Pelodiscus sinensis: one gene and its partners. The protein of the gene in region 2 binds, or shares a complex with, the protein of the main gene of each other region. Links are inferred from orthologs where the notes say so. Each region holds a gene or a part of one and is shown on either strand. Other genes may lie near its edges. The genes, in order: NFKB1, KPNA4 and RANBP3.

The links.
Region 1: the proteins of KPNA4 (region 2) and NFKB1 are in contact, whole or in part, in a crystal structure (PDB 7LFC), measured with the Homo sapiens proteins. The link is inferred for Pelodiscus sinensis from reciprocal best matches to the Homo sapiens genes KPNA4 and NFKB1. Residues at the interface, in NP_002259.1 of Homo sapiens: Arg96, Lys97, Leu99, Ser100, Ser101, Asp102, Arg103, Pro105, Phe133, Trp137, Thr140, Asn141, Ala143, Ser144, Gly145, Thr146, Ser147, Thr150, Gln176, Trp179, Gly182, Asn183, Gly186, Asp187, Asn219, Trp222, Val225, Asn226, Arg229, His230; in NP_001158884.1 of Homo sapiens: Glu357, Glu358, Val359, Gln360, Arg361, Lys362, Arg363, Gln364, Lys365, Leu366, Met367.
Region 3: the proteins of KPNA4 (region 2) and RANBP3 are in contact, whole or in part, in a crystal structure (PDB 5XZX), measured with the Homo sapiens proteins. The link is inferred for Pelodiscus sinensis from reciprocal best matches to the Homo sapiens genes KPNA4 and RANBP3. Residues at the interface, in NP_002259.1 of Homo sapiens: Arg96, Leu99, Ser100, Asp102, Arg103, Pro105, Phe133, Trp137, Thr140, Asn141, Ala143, Ser144, Gly145, Thr146, Ser147, Thr150, Glu175, Gln176, Trp179, Gly182, Asn183, Gly186, Asp187, Asn219, Trp222, Val225, Asn226, Arg229, Asp261, Trp264; in NP_015561.1 of Homo sapiens: Asn114, Tyr115, Cys116, Pro117, Pro118, Val119, Lys120, Arg121, Glu122, Arg123, Thr124, Ser125, Leu127.

Annotation. Positions count from the first base shown.
Region 1 is NC_134715.1:24,941,924-24,948,882, forward strand, and holds the start of NFKB1 (nuclear factor NF-kappa-B p105 subunit), read left to right. Parts: upstream 1-3,856; 5' UTR 3,857-4,220; intron 4,221-6,959.
Region 2 is NC_134720.1:33,022,930-33,030,556, reverse strand, and holds the start of KPNA4 (importin subunit alpha-3), read left to right. Parts: upstream 1-4,547; 5' UTR 4,548-4,734; coding exon 4,735-4,803; intron 4,804-7,627. UniProt on the Homo sapiens protein: Functions in nuclear protein import as an adapter protein for nuclear receptor KPNB1. Binds specifically and directly to substrates containing either a simple or bipartite NLS motif.
Region 3 is NC_134729.1:21,071,861-21,079,161, reverse strand, and holds the start of RANBP3 (ran-binding protein 3), read left to right. Parts: upstream 1-4,219; 5' UTR 4,220-4,520; coding exon 4,521-4,542; intron 4,543-7,301. UniProt on the Homo sapiens protein: Acts as a cofactor for XPO1/CRM1-mediated nuclear export, perhaps as export complex scaffolding protein. Bound to XPO1/CRM1, stabilizes the XPO1/CRM1-cargo interaction. In the absence of Ran-bound GTP prevents binding of XPO1/CRM1 to the nuclear pore complex.

The DNA of each region.
Region 1 (6,959 bases), on a different chromosome or scaffold from region 2:
TGGAACATCTGGTTGAAAAGGGGACCCAACAGCCAATTACTGGAAGCAGGGAGGCGCTGGGCCATCACTCATGTCAGCCCCTACTTGGCCAGGACTGCCGGCTGCCTGCTACTTGCATCAGGTGGCTACAGCTAATACTCTGGTTCCACAGGTGAGTCCCTTTGACCCAGATGGTGGGTGATGGGGGCGGGGGGAAGCAATGTGTGTTGGGGAAAGTGAAGAGTAATAGGGTAGGACCTCCAAAAGGGAATGAGCAGGGCCAGGCCGGTTCTAGTAGTCCTGCTGGAGTGTCCAGTTTTTAAAACAGGTGTGTGTGTGTGGGCACAAAGGCATGTCCCTCAAACGGGGGGGGCAAGGGACCAGCAGCCAGTGGGGCCAGAGAGCAGAGTCCTAGCTGCCGCCCAAGCCTTGGCTGCCAACCCCGCACATCCTGCAACCCTGTATGTGTCCCCCTTCCCAGAGACACGGCCCCACTCTGGGCCCCAGCAAGGAGGGATGGAAGCTTGGAGGAATGAACAGGGCAGGTATGGAAAGAAGCAGGGTAGGAGCGGGACCTGGAGTGGATGTGGGGTTTGTCCCAAGCCTAGGGACAGTGGCCTGGCGAGGAGTCATGGGGGGAGACAGTCACTTGGCCGATGTTCCTTTTGTGGCCCTCCCCATCAGTTAACTCTGTTTTAATCATTAACCAAGTTGGCAGCTCTAGGGAACTCCATGAATGGGAACTCTCTGGAAGTTGGGGTGGTGTTGGGGCATTAGTTAACTGCCTTGTTCTGTAAAAAGCAAGAGTTGGTGGTGGTATTTCTGCTGCTTCCCACCTTCTAACTTTTATTCCCAGGCTTAAAGTTCTCATTTGGGAGATGGGAGACACAACCTTAAGAAAGGATTTTAATAGGAGAGTGCCTGAGTTATGGGATACTCTGATGTGTTGCTCCTTTATAGTGTCTCCTGCTGAAGTTGTACCTCCGTGGATACATAATTAGGGAGTGCTTGGAAATAGGAAGGACTGAACCCTGTGTCTCTCCTCCCAGGTGAGTGCCCTACCCACTAGAGAGTCATTCTTGCTCAGCTTTTAATGGTCTGAGTCAGACACAGATGAGAAGTGGGCTGCTCAGGATGTGCCCTAGCTTGCAAAGGTGCAAATGAGGGTTGTGAGACAGCTGTCTTGAACCACACTAGTAGGGCTACTGAACATGGTCCATTATTAATCATGGTCCAGTGAGAACAAGTACTGAGGGTATAGCAGGCTAGTGAACTAGCAAGAATGTGACCTCAATGAACTCTATGACAAAAAATCCCTTTATTTCAGTGGCAGAAGGGTTAAATAGTAAATTGATCACCAGCAAAAAAAAGGGATCATAGTCTAGTCTCTAGCTTCTAAAGAACAGACTAGAATCCTATTTATTCCCAAGCTTGTTGTGACACTACTTGCCTTATGAACTTTCTCTCCATAAGATATTTGCTTGTGATGCACTGTTTTTTCACTGTGACTCTTTTGGAAATGTGGTGCTGTACGCTTTGAGATCATACTGTAAATTATGTTAAATGAAGGAACAGCCGGAGCTGGATTGTTAAGTGAAAGCAGCCCAGACTGTTTTTTCTGAGTAGTCCCCATCATTTGTATGGAAGATTTTCTGGACCCCATGGGAAGCCAATCAACTGGCGCTGCCTCGCAGATTTATAGTTAAATCTGCAATGAGAATGAGTACATGTACTGTATATGTGTGCAACACAGAATTTAACATTATTTACTGTAGAGCATTTATTAAATTGTGTGAGAATCATTATGAATATATTATAATATCCATCAACATTCTAAAAAACCTTTGGGACCCATCAATAGGAAAGACAGAAATTACAATATGCAGCACCGAAATTAGTTCCACCTCCACCAGAATCTCAGACCATAACAGCAAGAAAAACAAATATGACCTGCCAAACTAGTTGCCCCTCATTCTCCTGTACATCAGAAAAAACAACAACCATTGCATAAAGCAACGTGGGTTCTTTCATGCTGCTCTTTGAATTGTTCAGTTTAGCACAGATTGCCAGAATGTTACAAAGTTCTATTAACATTTCCGTGTGTGTGTCAGGATGTTCTTTTTCTTGTCTCACCAGAGTTTCCTTTCCATTAAAACACTCCTCCATGTACTGGTCATCTCTTACCTTCTTTGAAACCTTCTCTCTGGTCTATCAGCTGTTTTTCTTGCGCCTCTTTAGTCCATTCAAAAGGCTGTTGCTATCATTTTTATTATTTGTATTATCATAACATCACAGATAGGTGACTAGGATCCAATTTCATTGGCAGCTGTACAAGCACAGAAAAAAGACAGTTACTAAAATATTTTCCTTTTTCCATTATTCTCTTACCACTCAACATGCTACTGCTCTGTTCAGATTCCTTCACTGGCTCCCATTTGCCTTGATTTAATGTTTTTTTTAAACAGCAAACAAACTAGGACCTGATTCTTCATTGCCTTACCCCTTATGTACACTTTGTACTTCCAAATCAAAATGACCATGTATTACACCCACTATGCCGAATGTGAATGACTATACAAGGTCAAAGGGAGTGGATAACCAGATCTTATCCTTTGCAACCAATCTTCTACAGAACTCCCTCTCCATTAAAATGTCTATCCACCTCTAGCATATTCAACCCCTCCAAGAGTATTGTGAAGTCTCCAGGAATTAAAGATTGTTATATGATGAAACCTCCAAGAATATGTCCAATCAAAACTGGCAACCTTATTCACAATTTTATTCATATAGCTTTCCTGCTTCAGTTCCGGCTTAGGTGAAGAGTAGTAGCTAGCTATAAAGAACAGTGTACTATCAGACGGAAGGCGATTTTGCCTTTACCCACTAGCAAAAACTCTCAGCTCCTATTGGCTGGAACCCTACATTTTAGACTTATATTGAACTTCCTACAGAGACTTGGGCCCAATTCTCTTCCCTTGGTAGCTTTGGTGTATTATTTAACATAGGCCAGCCAACCTGTGGCTCTGAGGTCCGAGATGCTATGCAAGCATATAGAAAAGGAGGATGGATGCCTCAAGAGCTTTGCTTTTGCTGAGTGGCTGTTTTCAAGACCCTGTTAATCAAATAATCTACTTTTAACTGCTACGGGATAACGACTGGAACCGATAAACTGATGTTAGCAACAATGGGAATTTTCGGTAAAAATACAAGGTTCCCGTATTCAACTATCTCCCTCTAGATTGGACGATTTTTCTCTCTGTCCATGGGTGTAGCCCCTGCTTCCATGGAGGACAGATCCTGCTCTCTAAGGATTTGTTACAAGTTTCTTCCTGGAAGGGAGAGAGCAGTTTGTCTCTAGCACATATGGTCGGTGTTAGGGGTAGCAAGCAGGGCAGTTGCCTAAGAAGCTAAGTTATAGGTGGTGGGGCTCATGGTGGAGGCCCACTCCTTGGTTTCTGCCCTTGGTCCCAGTGAGTCTAACACTGGCCCTGCTGGGGGTGTGTCTGGGTTGGGAGAAGATTTTGCTTTGTGTATTTCACTAAGGTGCAGTGTAAATTCCTCGGGATTAGGGCAGCCCTTGGCTAGTGTGTATCTCCGTTGTACTGCCCCATGGGCCACTAGCCTGTCTAGTCTCCCTGGCTGCCACTGTAATACAAGTAATAAAGCTGAATGTTTCCACAAAGCTTCCCCAACTCAAATCCTCGCTCCCAGCTGGTTCCACAGCAAAGCCCTGCCCTGGCTCCGCCTGTTAGAAGGCAGCAGTGACCTGCGCTCCCCACAGGCACCCCTGGAGCGCCTTGTTCTCGTGCGCAGCCTCCCCACCCTTCCGCGGCGGCTGCCGCCGCTTCGCTCTCGAAACGTCAGTGGGAATTTCCAGCCAGGAAGGAAGTGAGAGCAGCAGCAGCAGGGGAGGGACGGAGAGAGAGTCAGAGGAGGCTGCTGGTGCGAAAGGGCAGCTGCTGACAGGTCCGTGGGACGGAGCCGCCCGGGGCGCACGCCCAAACAAGGGGGAAAACCCCGCCGCGCGGCGGCTGCACAGGAGAGGAGGACTAGGCGGCCGCTCCGCTTCGCAGCCTGGTTTACATGGCGCCGCGCTGACTCCGGCAAAAGGCGGCGGCAAGCGGCAGCGAAGCGCAAGGCAGAGCGGCTGCCCGGAGCGGGGCTCGCCCTCCCTGCCGGAGCACCGGGGCGCGTCCCGCCCGGAGGAGGAGCGGGGCTAAGGGGGAGACTCCGGCGTGAGGGTGAGCACGGAATTCGGTGTCGGGTCTTTGGCGGGGCCGGAGTCCCTCTGGTGCCTTTTTAAACCTTCGCCAGCTGGTTCACTTCCTCCTTCCTGGTCGGGCTGCCCGTCCGTCGTGCCTGTGAAACGGCTTGAGCTTCACGCCTGTCAGGTGCAGCGCGGCGTGGCCGAAGCGGTACCACTGCGGAGTGACTCCGGATTGGTAGAGCTGACAGCAGATTTTGGCCTCATTGGGTTTGTAATGAAAAAAAGAAGCTGATTGGGAGTGTATGGGTTGGGGAGGGGTGTGAGGGAGAAGAATAATGTTTTCTATTGAAATTTCACCTTTCTTCCTGAAAGCCCCTCTGGCCTTGTTCTGTCTCTCTCCTGCCACTGTCCAGCTCTCTCTTGGGTGAAGGGTGGTAGCCTGCTATAAAGTTCAGTGTGCTGTCAGGTGAGGCGATTTTGGCAAAGGGCAAGGAAGCAGACCCCACTTCTTTTGACACTTGGCATGGCAACTTTCATAACAACTGTACAGCTGTCAACAGAGAATTGACAGAACATGATTACAGTGAAACCTTTGTTATCTGGCACTCTGTTAACCAGAAAACTTTGGTAACCAGCATTGCCCCCAGCCACAATATTGTCACATCAGCAGGTGCACAGGCCTGGCTTGGTTTACCACGATTGGCTTAACAATTTTTTATTTAAGAAGTACTAATCATCTTCAACTCAAAATAGAAATGTGAGACCAACTGCCTCACACTATAAAACTACCAATGTTAAAAACTTGAGTTTTACTATTATTGTCCATTGGGTTTTCCTGGGTTGATGGGACCCTCAGATAACCGGAATTTTTAGATAACCAGAACACCCTAATCCCTGAGCATGCCAGATAACACAGGTTTTACTGTATTGAGATAAGATCTTATCCAAAAGACTGATATGCAGTAAATGGGACAGAGCTATTTTTCCATGGTGGAGCTGGATGGCTATTAGCTTTAAAAGCAAACAAAAGAGAAAAGAAGGGGAATTATTGGTAAAACCCTCTGTGCAGGTCCAAAGCAGTAGGTGCCCAGCAGGTGTTGCCTGTGCTAAGACTAGAGCCCATGTGGCTTGGCATACTGTACAGTAGCGTACTGAACCCTAGGTGGGATTACAAAATGAGAGCTCAGGTGTAGCATGTTTCTTGTTCTGAAAACCTCATTGCGTCCAAGTGTAGGCCCCTTACCTGTACAGGGGAGTCCGTCAATATGATTCATTTACTCTCTTTCCTGTTTTTCTTCATCATTGATTTATGGAGTCACTGGATTGGAAATGGAGTGTTACTGGTCACTTCACTAGGCTTTTAATAAAGTGTGATCCTTAGATGTTGTGTGGTGGATATTCTTTAAAGGATGACTGTCCACTTGATTTTTTTTCAATTGTGCAAATTCAAACATTCCAGTTTCTGTTAGAGCCATTTTAAATTTCATGCTTTGATATTTTTGTTAAAGAAAAACTCAAAATATTTTTTTCTACTCTTTTATTAATGTTTGTGAAGGGTTGTAAGCCAGGGAGAAGCTGACTCTACATAAAATACTAAAAGGAGGGAGAGATTTTTTTAAAACTTTGTCAGGATTTTTGTAATTACAGAAGAGGCTCAAAATTTCAGTGTTAAAATACAGCAATTTTCAAATGTCCCTTTGATTTCACATGTGAAATTCCCTCTTTATCTGAAAGAAAATCAAGTTTTCTACTATTTTGCATTGGTTGGGTTCTCTTAAAAACTATAAAACAATATAATCCTGTAAAGATTTTTTCTGATACTTTCAGTAATGCCATTCTAAATATAGGGAATACTACAGCAGACTTAAATACTTTCAAAAGCAGTAAATGGAATATTCAGTACTAAATGATGAAAATGAAATTGCAACGGATGGAAAATAATAGCTAATTAATTTTGTTACATTTTTCTCTAAAACTAAGAGGATTTAACTCTCCATTGTTTTTCATTGAGTGATATTTGTTGACATGAATGAAAGGAGGATTATTAAGTTACTGTCTTCATGTGAACAAAAAAAAGTATATAGTTTCTGCAAAAAATGGAGACTGCATTAAGGTGAATTACAATTTGTGGCCTTGATTCTCACCTCCCCCCCCCCCCCCAAATGCTTCTGTGTATGAGTAACTTTACCCACACAAGGGTAAGTAAATACACATGTAAGAGTTTTCAGGATTGATGTTTTACATATTAAGTATTGCTATTGGATTAACAAGACATTTCAGTATTCAATTTAAAAATGGTAACTCTTAAAAGGCACTAGTCTTTGTTAAAACTTACACACACTTACTAAAATGTAAAGTTTGAGAGGAAAATTATAGATAACACAAATAGACAAATTTAAGTCCTTTTTATCTCTCTTTCTTCCAAACAAGAGCAATCTGAGATAATACTAAAGGGTTTGATGTTCCAGTCCAGTATCCCAGATGTGCAGCAATGTCACTTCATAAAATTGATATAATGGGTGAAGAATGTGACCGTTTTGTTTTCAATTCTGAGATTATTTGAATCTTAGTGTGAATTTGTTTACTTTTCTAAATATTCTGCTAGCCAAAGAAGGATTATTTTTTTCTGGTTTAGAGCCACACTTTTGTAATTTGAAAAGAAAAAGGGGGGGGGGGAGGAGGAGATTATTGCTGATTTTTTTTTTAAAGATATTTGAAGAAAGATTTTGTCATCTATGGTATTTTGGCATCTATATTGATCAATGAGCAATAA
Region 2 (7,627 bases):
ATACAGCGGCTAAACCTGGCAAACTGGATCAGGCCTGCAGGCTGACATTTGCCCACTGCTGTGCTAGAATGAATCTATCTTTCAGTCCTGACTGCAGGATGAAGTAAATGAAAGTGACCACTAATAGGTGGGATCAACCCGACCAGAAGCTGTAAAGTTTTGGCCACATTAATAATGTTTCATGGCAGGAAGTCAAGGGCATGTAGCTCTGACCTTGCTGCAACTTCTTGACAAAGCTTTCTCCCTTCCCATCCCAGTTCATCTCATTTCTACCCTTCAGCACCAGCTCGCTGTAGGTCACTACTGTCTGGTACTGCAGTCAAGGTCATCCTATCCATAGGATGATTTGAGGCAGCCGCTCCTGGCCCTGTGCTTTGGGAGACCCTGTGACAGCTGCCCTGACTGTTTTATGGACATATTGAAGGGAGCCTGTGGTGCCATCAGCCTGGGGGATTACCAGAAGAGTATTGCATGCTCCAGCAGGTCACAGAGGACCTCGACGACGCTGATGGCATATACATCCGTTTTCGTCTCGACGGGAGCGTGTTCAACCTGAGGCGTTTGCAGGCCCACACAAAGACCATGGAGAAACTGATCAGGGAGCTGCTGTTTGCTGATGATGCCGCCCTCCTTGCTCACACAGAGGCAGCTATGCAGCGAATTACGTCTTGTTTCGCAAAAACTGCTCAGATCTTCGGTCTTGAAGTCAGCCTGAAGAAGACTGAAGTTCTTCATCAGCCCGCACCCCACGAGGAGCACCATCCACCAAGCATCTTCATTGAACAAACAGAACTGAAAGTTGTCCACCAGTTCAACTACTTGGGGTGCGTGATCTTGTCTGACGCCAAGATGGACAAAGAAGTCGATAACAGGCTGGCCAAGGCAAACAGTGCATTCGGCAGACTATACAAACGTGTCTGGAACAACAGTAACCTCAAAAGAGACATGAAGGTCAGCGTCTACAAAGCTGTTGTGCTGACCACTCTCTTGTATGGCGCTGAGTCCTGGGTCACGTACCGTAGTCACCTGAGTCTCCTCGAGCGTTTCCATCAGCGCTGCCTCCGCACAATCCTCAATATTCATTGGAGTGACTTCGTCGCCAACACTGAAGTCCTCGAGTTAGCGGAGGTCACCAGCATCGAGGCCATGGTCCTCAAGATACAGCTTCGCTGGGCAGGGCACATCACCAGGATGGAGAACCATCGCCTACCCAAGATCGTGCTGTATGGGGAACTGTCCTCTGGCTACCGCGACATAGGGGCACCACGAAAGCGGTACAAAGACTCCCTGAAGAAGTCCCTCACTGCTTGCTGTATCGATCACCATCAGTGGGCAACACAAGCAGCTGATTGCAACTCCTGGCGGCACACAGTCCACCTCCTTCTTCGAAGATACCCGCAGGGCCTGTATGGAGGACAAAAGGAGAAGGAAGAAGAACCGTGACCCCTCAGCACCTATCTCGGATCAGACCTATATTTGCAACCGTTGTGGCAGGACCTGCCTGTCCCGCATAGGCCTCGTCAGCCACCAGCGTGCCTGCAGAAGATGTGGATTTCCTAGATCTTCGTTCGCGAAGTCAAGCCACGATTGCATGGTGCAACAGCAGCCACCAGGCCTCCCACACTTACCATGGCGGCAGAAGCCTGGGAAGCAGAGTGAAGCAGACGGGAGCTTGTACTACTGTCATCTCCCAGCTGGGTTGTTCTTCTTAACTGCAGTGGTAGAAAACAAAGTGCTCCAGCCCCAGCTTGCTCTATTCCCCTAAGTGATGCAGAGTTCTGGGAAGCAAAGTAGATCGGGATGCTCCACTTCTCAGGCTCCTGCTGCCATGGTGAGTATGAGGGAGTGTCACGTTATTGGATTTTAGGGTGAGGAGGCAGATCATTGTTGCACCCACTAGTGTGTTTGCTCCAAATTCTGTACGAAGTGGGCCGTGTAAGGTGTCAAATGAAAGCTTATGTTATGCTGACCAGTATGTTATTCATATGCTGGTATGATTATTGTATGTATGTTATGGATACAGGCTCTGTATTTGTATTTAAATGTTCTCCATCTGAGAGGCAGCAATGGACTTCCATGACATATTGTGAGGAGTGGTTATCCAATGAATGGCTGTGCTAATTAGCAATGCTGCATAGACAGAGGCTCTCAAGGTTGCCAATACACGTGAGGAATGCATTTGGAAACTTGCAAATGAGCAAGTCTATCATGGCTACTTGCATGAAAGACAAAGAAAGGTCACTTGATCATGTGACAAATGCCAGTTTGGGAGGCACTAGGAATACAAAAGTACCATGAGGGCATCTCCATCTTGTCTTCAATCTTGCTCCTGATTCCAGAAGCATCCTTGCTAGGGACAGAGAACCAGGAAGGATTTGTTGACCCATCCTGACACAGGATGTACACCAGAGTCTTTTAAGTTAGCAGTTTGTAACATCTCTGCTAAGAGCCTGCATCAAGAACTTGGTGATTGATGTATGTAATGTATTCTCTTTAACAATCTCACTCTCAACCCTTTTCTTTCATTAATAAACCTTTACGGTGCGTTTAGACTGGCAAAAACTTCCCAGCTATCTATACTGGCAGCTTGAATTTGCGCAACAGCACTGACGTTCCAATGTAAGAATTCAGTGCTTCTTGCACAAATTTTTTGACGCCCCCACTCAGGGATAAGCCCTCTTGTACAAGAATACTTGCGCAAGAGGGCCAGTGTAGACAGGCACCTTAATTTTTTGCGCAAGAAAGCTCAATGGCTAAAATGGCCATCGGAGCTTTCTTGCGCAAAAGCGAGTCTATATTGGGCACGGATGCTTTTGCGCAAAAGCACTTTTTGCACTAAAGCATCCGTGCCAATCTAGATGCTCTTTTGCGGAAATACTTTTAACAGAAAAACTTTTCCGTTAAAAGTATTTCCGCAGAATCATGCCAGTCTAGACACAGCCTTAGATTTTAGATTCTAAAGGATTGGCATTGTGTGCTCTTTTGGGTAAGATCTGAGATATAAATTGACCTGGGACTGTGACTGGTCCTTTGAGACTGGGAGAACCTGTTTGGAGTTGGTGAGATTGGGTTTTATAACCTCTCACCTATGTATGTGGATCTGACTGTTGCAGAGGGAACGCTGGGGTGTCTAAGAGGTTTTGCCTTGTGAGGTTTCTTGCTGGCCAAACAGGGCACTGAAGTGCTCTTTGTGACTGGTCTGGTGCCTTTATAGGGAAGGACCTCACTCTTGGGCTGTAAATTGCTCTGGTTCTAAAAGAATCGCTCTAATCCAATACTCTCTCAGCAGTGACTAGACTGAATCGTTATATTACAGAGGAGGGAGCGACCCGTTGCCACTCCGTGCTACACTCCCTCATAATCCCTTGGGTCACATAGCTCTGGGAAGGGGACTTCGGGAAAGAGGTATAAACAGGACTGGAGGAGGCAAAGCAGGGGTGGAACTTGCGGTGAATCCTGGTGAAGCACAAGGAAATCCAGCCCTGAGGATGCCATCCTACCTTGGCCCCGCCCCAGCTCCCTCCTCTCTACTGTGTAGTTGCGTATTGCCTGGCTGGTATACACACTCACCCAGTGATGATAATAAAACGTAATTAGAAAATACCAGACATTTATATGTCCAGTATTTTCTCAATTTGTTTCCCAGACAGAAAGGTCAAAACTGGACATCTGGCAACCCTAGTTGTTTTTTTTTAAGTTTTTTTTCCCCACTTACAGACTAACATAGCTACCTCTGAGACTTCTTAGCCCTAGTCACCCAACTGGGCTCAAGGTATCTACTGACTCCAAGGAACTCCTATTCCAGTCTCACATGAATCCCACCGTGACTGAAGGAGGTGGACTGGGGGGTGCACAGTTGATGGGGAGGTAGATGCAGACACAAGAAGCGATTCAGCGTTAGGAAAAAGAAGCAGCAGTGAAAGCTGAGCGCCCCTACCCTGGTGCTGGTTTCTGCACGAGTGCAGGGCGAGAAACGCAGAGAAACCTCTTGTTAACAGCTACAGAGAATACTAAGCCAGCAGCTGCTAGCCCCTGCAGCCTCCTTCCCCCAGCAGCGGTCTCGTGCCCCGAGAAGCCTCCACAGCCCCCAGCGTCTGCGCAGCAGCCGAGGGGGAGGGAGGAAGGCGGTGACGCACGTTGTTGTCGACTTTCAGTTGTGTCAACAACGGCAGCAGCCGCTGCCGGAAAGGGCGGGCAGGGCGCCCCTCGGCTCTAACAGCGTGGGGCGCAAAATGGCTGCCCGGCGCAGGGGTCAGGGGGGCACCCCGCTGGCTGCCGTGAAGGAAACTCCATCTCCCTGCCTGCCCTCGGCGCCTCGTCCTACCCTGTCCCCTGCTCGCCACCGCCCCGCTCTCCTCCCACAGCGCGGCCCTCCCTCCACGCTCGTCTCTCCCATTCGCCGCCGGCCCGCCCCTCCCCAGCCAATCGGAGGGCGCGGCAGAGAGGGGTGGGCGTAGCCTCGGCCAGCTCCTGCTAGATCGAGGCTACCTCCTCCTTTCCCCCGCCCTCGGCTCTGTCCCTTTGCTGGTTACCGGCACATTCCGGCGCCCAGGCAGCCGGAGCTCGCGAGCGGCCGGAAGGAAGGAAGGCAGGAAGTGCGGAGGCGGCAGTGGCGGCCTAGTGGCGCAGGCCGCAGCGCGGACGGGAAGAGAGTGCGAGTGAGCGAGGCGGCGGCGGCGCCGGGCAGGGGATCCCGGCAGGCCCGGGAGGAGGCCGCGCTCCTTCTCTCCCGCCATGGCCGACAACGAGAAACTGGATAATCAACGGCTGAAGAACTTCAAGAACAAAGGCCGCGACCTGGAGGTAGCTCCCACAGCACCCCGCGGGAAGGGCCGGGCATGGCGGCGGGACTGGGCCGCCGAGCTCTGGCGTCTCTCCTAATCCCCCTTCCGGCACAACCGCCTTCCTGCTGCTGCATCAGCCGAGGGCCTGCTCCGAGGCTGAGGCCTGCTCCGCCGCTGTGGAGGGGAGGGAGTGTCTTCCCCTTTCTCCTCACGAGGGCAGGGGCGCTACTTGGGTGGGGTGGGCGGACGGACGAGCTGAGTGAGCCCTGCGTTTCCCCTGCCGGGAAGAGGCTGCCTTTCCTTCCCACCCTCGGACAGCTTTGGGGCTGAGGGCGGCTGCCCGCCCGGAGTGGGGAGTGTCTGCACTGACAGCGGAGTTAACGCCTTTCGGCATTTCCCTTCTGTGGCTATCTCCCTTGGTTTTGCTGTACACCAGGGAGAGGAGCGGGGAGGACGCTGACGGGTGTGTGGCTATGAGGCACGGGGGTCTTTGTCGTCATTTTCTCTGTAAGAAACTGGTGGCTATTGACATGAACGGAGTTCTGCTGACTGTTAGCCCTTCCTAGTACGGGTTATGTTTTTTTCTTCAGAGTATCTGCAGGCCAGTACATAGTTGAAATGCAAAATATAAACTGATGGAATTAACATAAGTGCAGCTACAGCACTATAGAAACAGTCAAGTGCAGTCTAATATATTTTTGTACAACCTCACTTTGGTTTGGCACTGTTGCAATAGGGGGTCAAGTACCATCAGTCATCCACTTCCCAGATAGTAATGAAAACCGTTTTGGTTTATAGCTTGGCTAACACATTCAGGTTATGGCTTTTCCCAGTTATGGCAGTGAAGGCCAAAGAAGACCCTTATTGGAAAATGTCCTGCAGTTGGTCCTCCTTTGATGCAGCAGTTCCCACAGCTTAACAATTTCATATGGGACAGAGACAGTTAGTCAAGTAAGCAAGTCCTATGCAATTCATGTTTTTTTCATAAAGCAGTCTCTAAAGTCAGCACCTTGAACTCCACACAAACTTCTGGGAGCCAGGTAAGATCCCAGAACACTGGCATAATGTATTAGCTGCATAAAAAACCACTTAAGTGGGTCTTTGTGTTCTGCTCTAACTTCAGTTTCTGAATGGGTTTAAGATGTGGTAGAGCATAGTGTAATCTAATGTTGAGATGACACAAAGGCATGAAGAACTTGGCTTTTGAAAGTAAAGGATGGAGTTGCTCTCTTTCACTGATTGGCATGGGGAAGGAATCTTTTCTACCTGTGCATGAAGGAATAATCCAGGATCCAACATCTAGGTTTTGAACTCGGTTGAGTATATCGGTATAACTTTACCTGAAATGTTTGGGATTGACAGATAATGAAAGAGAGAGTAAAGCATGCAGGAAATAAAAGATTAGTTTAATATTAAAGGACTTAGTTAAATGGGGTTCTGCTGTCTTTGTGTAAAAGTACCTTCCCCGTTGAGCTGTTTGCTGGCTGCTCTCCAAATACTAAAAACAAAAGCACAGGGTGTATTATAATTCCAGAAGTGGTGCTGTGAAGGTTTTTATTTAAAACAAACCTCATACTTCATTCTCTTCTGTATATTATTTTATATGGAAAAGTATAATGCAAAGTTCTCTTAAATCACTGCTGTGTTGGATGCCTAAACTTTGCATTTTAATGTAGGTTCTCTAAACTCATACTATACATTAGGGATGTGAATGACTAGTCAACTGTCCGATAAGCAAGTGGGAGAGAGGAAGAAAAGGGGATGGTTCAAAGTGGCAGTGCTGCATAGGGCCCAGGCCAGACCTTGGGCTCTACGCGGAGCTGCTGCTTTGAAACGCCGTGCAGCCCAGGGCTAGCTGGGGACTCCCCTGCTGACCCCAGGCTCCATGCGGCGCTGCCACTTTGAAATACTGCAGGGAGCTTGGGGTCAATGGGGGACTGCTTGAGTCCCCTGCTGGCCCCATGTTCCCCGCAGTGCTTTCACTTTTAAAGTGTAGCAACAATCCTGGTGCTGTTACTACACTTCAGAAGTGGAGATGCCCTTATTGATTACTGGAATAGTCAATGCAAATTGCACCGACTACTGGATTAGCCCATTAATCTAAATTTAACATCCCTGCTATACATATGTTAATCCTGAATCCTTCCCACAAAAATAAGACTTTTATAATTTGGATGATAGCCTGTTTAGTTTTAGTTATTGATGAAATTTTAAAGACACACACTGATTTGAAGATCACCCTCTTAAGAGAGGACTTTTTTCCTATATTTGTTTCAAGTAACCTGTAAGATAACTATTATTGAAACCATTTGAAAATATTTCTCCTGCCTTCTTTGTTTTTAGGCATTTTATAGGCATTATTTTTCTTGTTTGAGAGAAACATTTTAAAATAAAACCAAAAAATTTGGCTGAGGTCTTACTGACATATGTAATACTGTAGAGTTTATTACCTTTAAACATTATTGTATTTCTGGTAGGCTATGTGCCATCCATGTGTTTTTTGGTTTGCTGTTAAGGTAGCATTTTGCAAAATGAAAACATTGTTAAGCTGTTAAGTCTTGTTAAATTTTAGAGACTGACATCTCTCTAACAGATCTTGGAACATATGCTCAGTACTTAAAATAACTACTGTGGATGATCATTTTTCAAATAGTAGCTCAGGCTTGTGTGACTATCATTCTGATTCATTGTTTATACATCACATTTTTTCATTACAGCATGAAATATTGGTAATGGCTGTATTTAGTCAAGCTTTAGCAACAGTTGATTTTTTTTATCTTGCATTTTTGCAGAAAAAAACCTCTTCCCTTCACATAAATCAGTATTTGATTATTCTAGTAGTC
Region 3 (7,301 bases), on a different chromosome or scaffold from region 2:
CAAGAAGCAACTATTAAAGGAAGCAAGATGTGATTTCTACTTGTAGAGTCCCTGGGTTGGGAGTAGTGGGTGTGTCTGGATTCCCTCACAGGCGTGGTGAAGTGGCCTATGTCCTGAGGAGAAGATAAAGCTTGATTAGAGGCTCAAGTGAAAGTATTTAAGGGACACCAGAGAACAGCTAAAGGCTAAGATCTCCAGGGAGGAAGTCCTGAGTGTGCTGGTTTATAATGTGGTAGGGATAGATTTAAAGCCAGTCCAGAAGGGGCTAAGAACCTAACCCAGGGTAGAATAACAGTTCCAACAAGGGCATTATGATAGGCGTTGTTGAACCTTTGCTACTCTGGAAGGGAGTCATCCATTTTAGACTATGTGTGTCAGCCAAAGGAAAGAGCCCCTGAAGATTCACCTGATGAGGGCAACAACTGATAGAGCAGGGCTACTCAACTTTGGAAGCTCCAAGGGTCACAATGATACTCACAGAACATGCCGAAGGCCGCAACTTAAGTGTGGTTGCATATTTCGCATTGACAGGCATGAATACAAAGGTCAAGGCAAGATTGCACAAAACACAGGCCCCATTTAAGTCAGTTCTGCTGATATTAATAAAATGCAATATTTACCCGATTTCCATCCATATGACAGCTAGGGTTGCCAGATGGTTTAACCAAAAATACAGACCCCCGCTCTCCCCCAAAAAAACACCGGGAAAAAAATTCTGTTGAGAAAATAAAAGGACAGCAGTTATTAAAAAATAAAAATCAGCATGGCCCATTTAAGAAGAGGCTTTTTTGCCGGTGGCCATTTTGTTTTTCTGCCAGGCACAAGACAAGCCCCTGCAGAACCAGGTAAGTGGGGGAGCCTGGCAGAAGGGAGGCGGGGGGCTGGGCCCAATTGCTGAGTGAGTTGCCAGGTGTCCGGTATTTTCGCCTCCTGGCAGGGAAATGTTTTTTTAGGTGTTTGGTATTTTCTGAATTTTTTTACCGGACAGGAGGTGAAAATACCAGACTGTCTGGATCAATACCGGACACCTGGCAACTCTAATGACAGTATTTTAAATTCCTGGACTGTCATTGCTCATTAAACTACTAAAACACATATCAACAGAAGACCATTATATTGCCTACTTTCTTGTTTTGGCTCCCACCCGCGGGCCACATGTTAAATCCCCGCTTCATTAGCAATTGCAATACGTCTAATTTACATCCCTTTTCCGAAAAAGGGATGTAGTCTAGACGTAGCCACAGGCTGTGGGCCACATGAAGAGCCCTATAATAGAGGATACTTTGAGCACAGAAATAGTGAGGGTTCACATCCATCCAACAGGGGGTGCTCACAAGAGGTTAGTGTGCCCCATCAGAAAGCCCATTCTCCTTCTGTTCATCCTACCACTGCTCTGGGAGTACCCATGTATTCCCACTGTAGTGGCTCCTGTTGCTATTAGTCTAATAGTGGTGTGAGTCTGGCCTAGAATGTGTGCTTAGCTGCTATTTTGACAGGCTGACAAATTTCCCTGAGGAACAGGAGGGAAAGAAAATGGTGATTTCATTGTGTATCTCAGCAATACCTGATATTTGTTCTCCCTGCCAAATACCTGCTGCAAACAATGGAAGTGAAGAACAGATCACAAAAATTCTTCATAATGGAAAGTGTCAGCTTCCCCAACCCCTATAATACAGTAAACTTCCAATAATCTGGCACCTTTAGGACCCAAGGGGTGCCGGATTATCAAATATGCTGGACTATCAGAAGGGGGGGGGGGCATAAGGGGTCTGGGGCGGAGTGTGGGGGATGTGCCCCTCGGCGCTGCAGGACCAACCCAGCAGCACCCCAGCTGCTCTGCCCCAGGTGTCCCCAAGTCAGCCGCTGCTGAAACTGACCAGTGACTGACTCGAGGAAGCCCGGGGCAGAGCAGCTGGGGTACTGCCGGGTTGGTCCCGCAGCGCCGAGGGGTGGTGCTAGGGGACCAACCCGGCAGCACCCCAGCTGCTCTGCCCCCGGCGTCCCCAAGTCAGATGCTGCTGAAACTGACCAGCAGCTGACTCCGGGAAGCCTGGGGTAGAGCTGCTCTGCCTCCGGCTTCCTGGAGTCAGCCGCTGGTCAATTTCAGCAGCGGCTGAATCAGGGAAGCCGGGGGCAGAGCAGCTCCAATTGTCCGGCTGCCCTGAGCACTTCTGGGTTCCAGATGGTGCCAGACCATCAGGAGTGTGGGACCATTGGATGCTGGACCACTGGAGTTTTACTGTAGTTAAATTTTGTGTGAATTTAGAACCAAATAATCTTCCCAGCTCCTAACCTGATACCTCTGTTGTGGGATAGGGATGATCAGAGGACAAATGGGAGAGAAAGCCTCCTTTTCAGGCCACTGGTCTGACCAGTAGCTTTGTAGTTACTCATTCAAAGAGTTGGAACAGTCTCTATGGCTGTTGCTCACCCCTTTTATGGAGAAGACAAACTTCTGTCTAGTTCAAACCTTCCACTAGCTGTAACAGAAGCACTGTTTCAACAAGGACATCAAAGTTTGTACCAAGGATATTTAATTCCTTGAAACGTGACCTCCTGAAATCTCATCCCCGTACTGCTGAGTTCAGTGAACCTTGGGGGGGATAGATATTTGGCTATGTGTGTGTGTGTTCCCTCTGTGTGCCATCTCAGCTCTGTACAGACAATTGGAACATAGGCCAGGATTATTGTTAATGAAGCACAATAATAGCATTTGGCAGACTCTACGGCTGTGTCTACACTGGCATCCCTTTCCAGAAAAGGGATGCTAATGAGACACTTCGGAATTGCAAATCCGCGGGGTTTTTGCCGGAGAAAAGCGCCAGTGTAGACGCGATTTTCCGGAAAATAAGCCCTTTTCCGGGATATCCCTTATTCCTACTTTCAAGGAATTCAAGGACTGAGGCGGCGGAAAGGGGGCTGTGGAGGAGGGTGGCGGTGATGGACTGAGGCGGCGGGAAGGGGGCTGTGGAGGAGGGTGGCGGTGATGGACTGAGGCGGCGGGAAGGGGGCTGTGGAGGAGGGTGTCGGTGATGGACTGAGGCGGCGGGAAGGGGGCTGTGGAGGAGGGTGGCGGTGAAGGACTGAGGCGGCGGGAAGGGGGCTGTGGAGGAGGGTGGCGGTGAAGGGCTGAGGCGGCGGGAAGGGGGCTGTGGAGGAGGGTGGGGGTGAAGGACTGAGGGGGCGGGAAGGGGGCTGTGGAGGAGGGTGGGGGTGAAGGACTGAGGGGGCGGGAAGGGGGCTGTGGAGGAGGGTGGCGGTGAAGGGCTGAGGCGGCGGGAAGGGGGCTGTGGAGGAGGGTGGGGGTGAAGGACTGAGGGGGCGGGAAGGGGGCTGTGGAGGAGGGTGGGGGTGAAGGACTGAGGGGGCGGGAAGGGGGCTGTGGAGGAGGGTGGCGGTGAAGGGCTGAGGCGGCGGGAAGGGGGCTGTGGAGGAGGGTGGGGGTGAAGGACTGAGGGGGCGGGAAGGGGGCTGTGAAGGAGGGTGGGGGTGAAGGACTGAGGGGGCGGGAAGGGGGCTGTGGAGGAGGGTGTCGGTGATGGACTGAGGCGACGGGAAGGGGGCTGTGGAGCAGGGTGTCGGTGATGGACTGAGGCGGCGGGAAGGGGGCAGTTGAGGGGGGTGGCGGTGAAGGACTGAGGGGGCTGGAAGGGGGTAGTTGAGGAGGGTGGCGGTGATGGACTGAGGGGGTGGGAAGGGGGCTGTGGAGGAGGGTGGCGGTGATGGACTGAGGGGGTGGGAAGGGGGCTGTGGAGGAGGGTGGCGGTGAAGGACTGAGGGGGCTGGAAGGGGGCAGTTGAGGGGGGTGGCGGTGATGGACTGAGGCGGCGGGAAGGGGGCAGTTGAGGGGGGTGGCGGTGATGGACTGAGGTGGCGGGAAGGGGGCAGTTGAGGGGGGTGGCGGTGAAGGGCTGAGGCGGCGGGAAGGGGGCAGTTGAGGGGGGTGGCGGTGAAGGGCTGAGGCGGCGGGAAGGGGGCTGTGGAGGAGGGTGGCGGTGAAGGACTGAGGGGGGTGGGGGGTGGGAACGAGGCAGTAAGGGCTGACAGGTCTGGAGCCGGGTGCTCACACCCCTGAGCCACCGCCCCCAACCTCCCGACGCGGGGGGAAGGGACAATGCTTTGTTGTCACAGGTGGGTTTTATGAAATGTGGCGCGTGCAGTTGTGCGCATGCCCCGTGAGGCTCCTGCAGCGCTGACTCCGCTCCCCTCACCCAAGAGGCTCTGCTAGTCCTGCAACGGGCGGAGCGGGTGGGTTTGGCGCAGGCGCACTGTTTGTCTAACCGCGAGCGGCGGAACGAAGCCTTTGCTTTTAGCGCATGCGTACTAAACCCTGTGAGGCGGAAGGGAGTTAAAAAAAAAAAAAGAAACGTTCTTCGGAGCATGCGCAGTCTCTCCCGCTTGACGGCGGGAGAGCCCCTCCCTTGCGGGACACTGCGCGCATGCGCCGCCGCGCTGTGTCTGTTGTAAATCGGAGGCCGGCCGGCCGCGCGATGCACTGTGGGAGTGATTGAGGAAGTAAAATGGCGGATTTAGCGAACGAAGGTAGGGGGGGATGTGGCCGTTATCGCGGTTGTGCGGAGGCGGGGTTTGGGCCGCGGGCCGAAGCAGGCCTGGCATTCGCCTCAGGAAGAGCTCCACGGGCCCCGTAGGGGAGTTGCTCCTCCCTGCCGCCTGCCTCAGTGCCGGCCACCGCAGGGGAACGGACTGGACAAAGGGAGAGGCTGGGCCTAAGTGGGGCCGTCTTGTTTCCCCGCCCCCCAGTCCGGGGGGAGCCGACCGACACCCGCCCTGCAGCGAGCACCTTGGGGGGCATCGGCGTGAGCATGGGGGTGACGGAAGTGGGGCTGGGCGTGGGCCCGGGCCTGTCGGTGCAGGCTGTGCGGGCCAGGCGCTAAGAGAGAGGCGTGTGTTATTTATTACTGCCCAGCGTCAGGAGCAAAGCTACTCCTTTCCTGCTGCAGCCTTCAGCGTGGGACAGAACCGCATCCCTTTGTAAAAACAGGGAGGAGTCCTGTGACACCTTAAAGACTAACAGATTTATTTGGGTATAAGCACTTGTGGTCAAGGGCCCCCTTCCTCAAGCTGCATGTCTTTGCCCAGAAAAGCTTATGCCTGAGCAAACCGGTTCATCTTTAAATTATCACAGGGCTCCTTGTTTTTTGTGGATACAGACTAACACAGCTACTCCTCTGATTCCTGTCAAATCCTTTTCTAGTGAGCCTATCTAGCTTGGCAGGTACATACCCTGTGTGTGTTCCGAATGTGAACAGAGCATCCCTCTATGTTCCCATTAGTCACCTTATTTTGTTCATGGTGAAAAACTGTGAGGCAATGGTGGCAAAGGAAGAGACCTGTGGGAGCTGCCTCTTGTTTAATTATCACTTGAACCCCAAAATGTGAAAAGCAAGCTCAGTATTTCTCTTTCCTGTTTGGGGCTAGGTGCCTCCTTATATGTCACCCCTTTTTATGCAGTGTTCAGGTAGCATGTCCCTTCTTGGCATGCCTATTTAAGGGAGCTGTAAAATTCCCATTGTTAATGCTGTGTATTTATGTCTAGCAGTTGGCTAAGAATATGCCTTGCAAGATTAGAGAAAATTTAGGTATCTTTTGTATAGCCATAATTTTGTGAGGGCAGGGAAATTGGTTTTATTAATTCTTCCTTGGGAGCTTTAAGAGAGAATGGCATACCATGTAGAGGTCCTAGGCTTTATCTACACTGGCACTTACCCAAATGACACAAGTTTTCCAATAAATGTGGAAAACCTTGCCCCCTAACACCCAAACAAAAATGTGGAAAACCTTGCCTTCCACCACCCAAACAAAAAACAATTAATTGATGAAAAGTGTCTGCTTGCATAGTGCTTTGTTCAGTGGGACCTTTGCTTGTTGGAGGTGGTTTTACTTTGTCACTGGAAAACATCTCTCCCAGCAGTAAAGAGTGGCCACTCAGTGCACCTTATAACTATGCAGATTCAGCACTGCTATAAGGTGTGTTGTGTAGACATAGTTTTAATGTGTATCTCCCAAGTGGAAGATAGACAGAAAACTTTCATAACATGAAAGAGTTGGGGCTCTTGTACATTTGAAAAGCAGAATCGCAGCAGAAGCAGCGCTAGTAGAGAATGCTTCAGTCCCTGCTTGCACCATTGCCAGTGTGCTTTTATCTCCCCTGTCCCCCTCAGAGATGGTGCTGGGGGAAACTGGCTTTCACGCTGGCTTCCCCCCAACATCATCTCCTGCTTCCCCCCCTTGCTGCCTGCCTCTGATAGAGGCTGCAACAAAGTCATTCTCTTATCCTGTCACATTCTCCTTGCATCCTTTCATTGGCTTCCTCTTCTCTGTTGCCTCAAACAAAATTTACTTATGTTTACCTTCAAGGCCCTTCATGGTGTGTTCCCACCACACCAGTCATCTCACATTGACTGACATGTAGATTTACACTTTTGATTAGCCATGATGCCAGCCTCCATCACACACTCATTAAAAGATTAAAATAAGACCTTTGTGCCTTCTTCCATACTTTTCCTCATGCTCAGAGGAACTCCTTGTAAATATGCGCTAAGTTATCCCATTAATCTCATTCAGAATTCTCTTTGAGATTCTCCTTTCAGTGTACAAAACTTTTGACATCTTTTAGGCCGCTGAGAGGCCTGAGGCAACTGCCTATCGTGTCCAATTTTGCCTTGCAGTTTCCTTGCACCCCTCTGTCTATATCTATTTTGGCTTATCTTATACTTAGGTTGTAAGTTCTTTAGGGGTAGGGTCTGTTGTTTTGTTTTGTATTTATTCAGTGCCTAATATAATGGGGTTTTCTTCCATGACTATTGCTTCTAGGTACTACCATAATGTCTCTTTTTTGAGATAACTGGATTAGTCCTCATCAACACTTATTTTCATGAATTCTCCTCTAACAAACTTTCCAGATTGATTTGTATGAAGATGCTTGTGATAGGAAGCAGTATAGCTTTCCATGGTACTTTATAACTACGTCCCTTTATTTTAAATTTAAATTGAGTTTTACTAAACTCTCCTGCATTTTATAAAAACTATTAATTTTTTCCAATTTTCACCCTGCTTTTGTATTCTTGGAAATAAATTGCATGAATATATCTATTATGATAATATGCAGGGCTTGACAAATCTGTGTATCTACTCGCCCATGGCGAGTAGATTACAGTGGTCGCCCCGTTCACTGGTGGTGCGCGCATGTGCAGTGCAGGTCTGGCGCATGTGCGGGGCTGGTGAGTGGATTTTGCTGTGGTTTGTCGAGCCCTGATAATACGTTAGTTATAACTACTCGA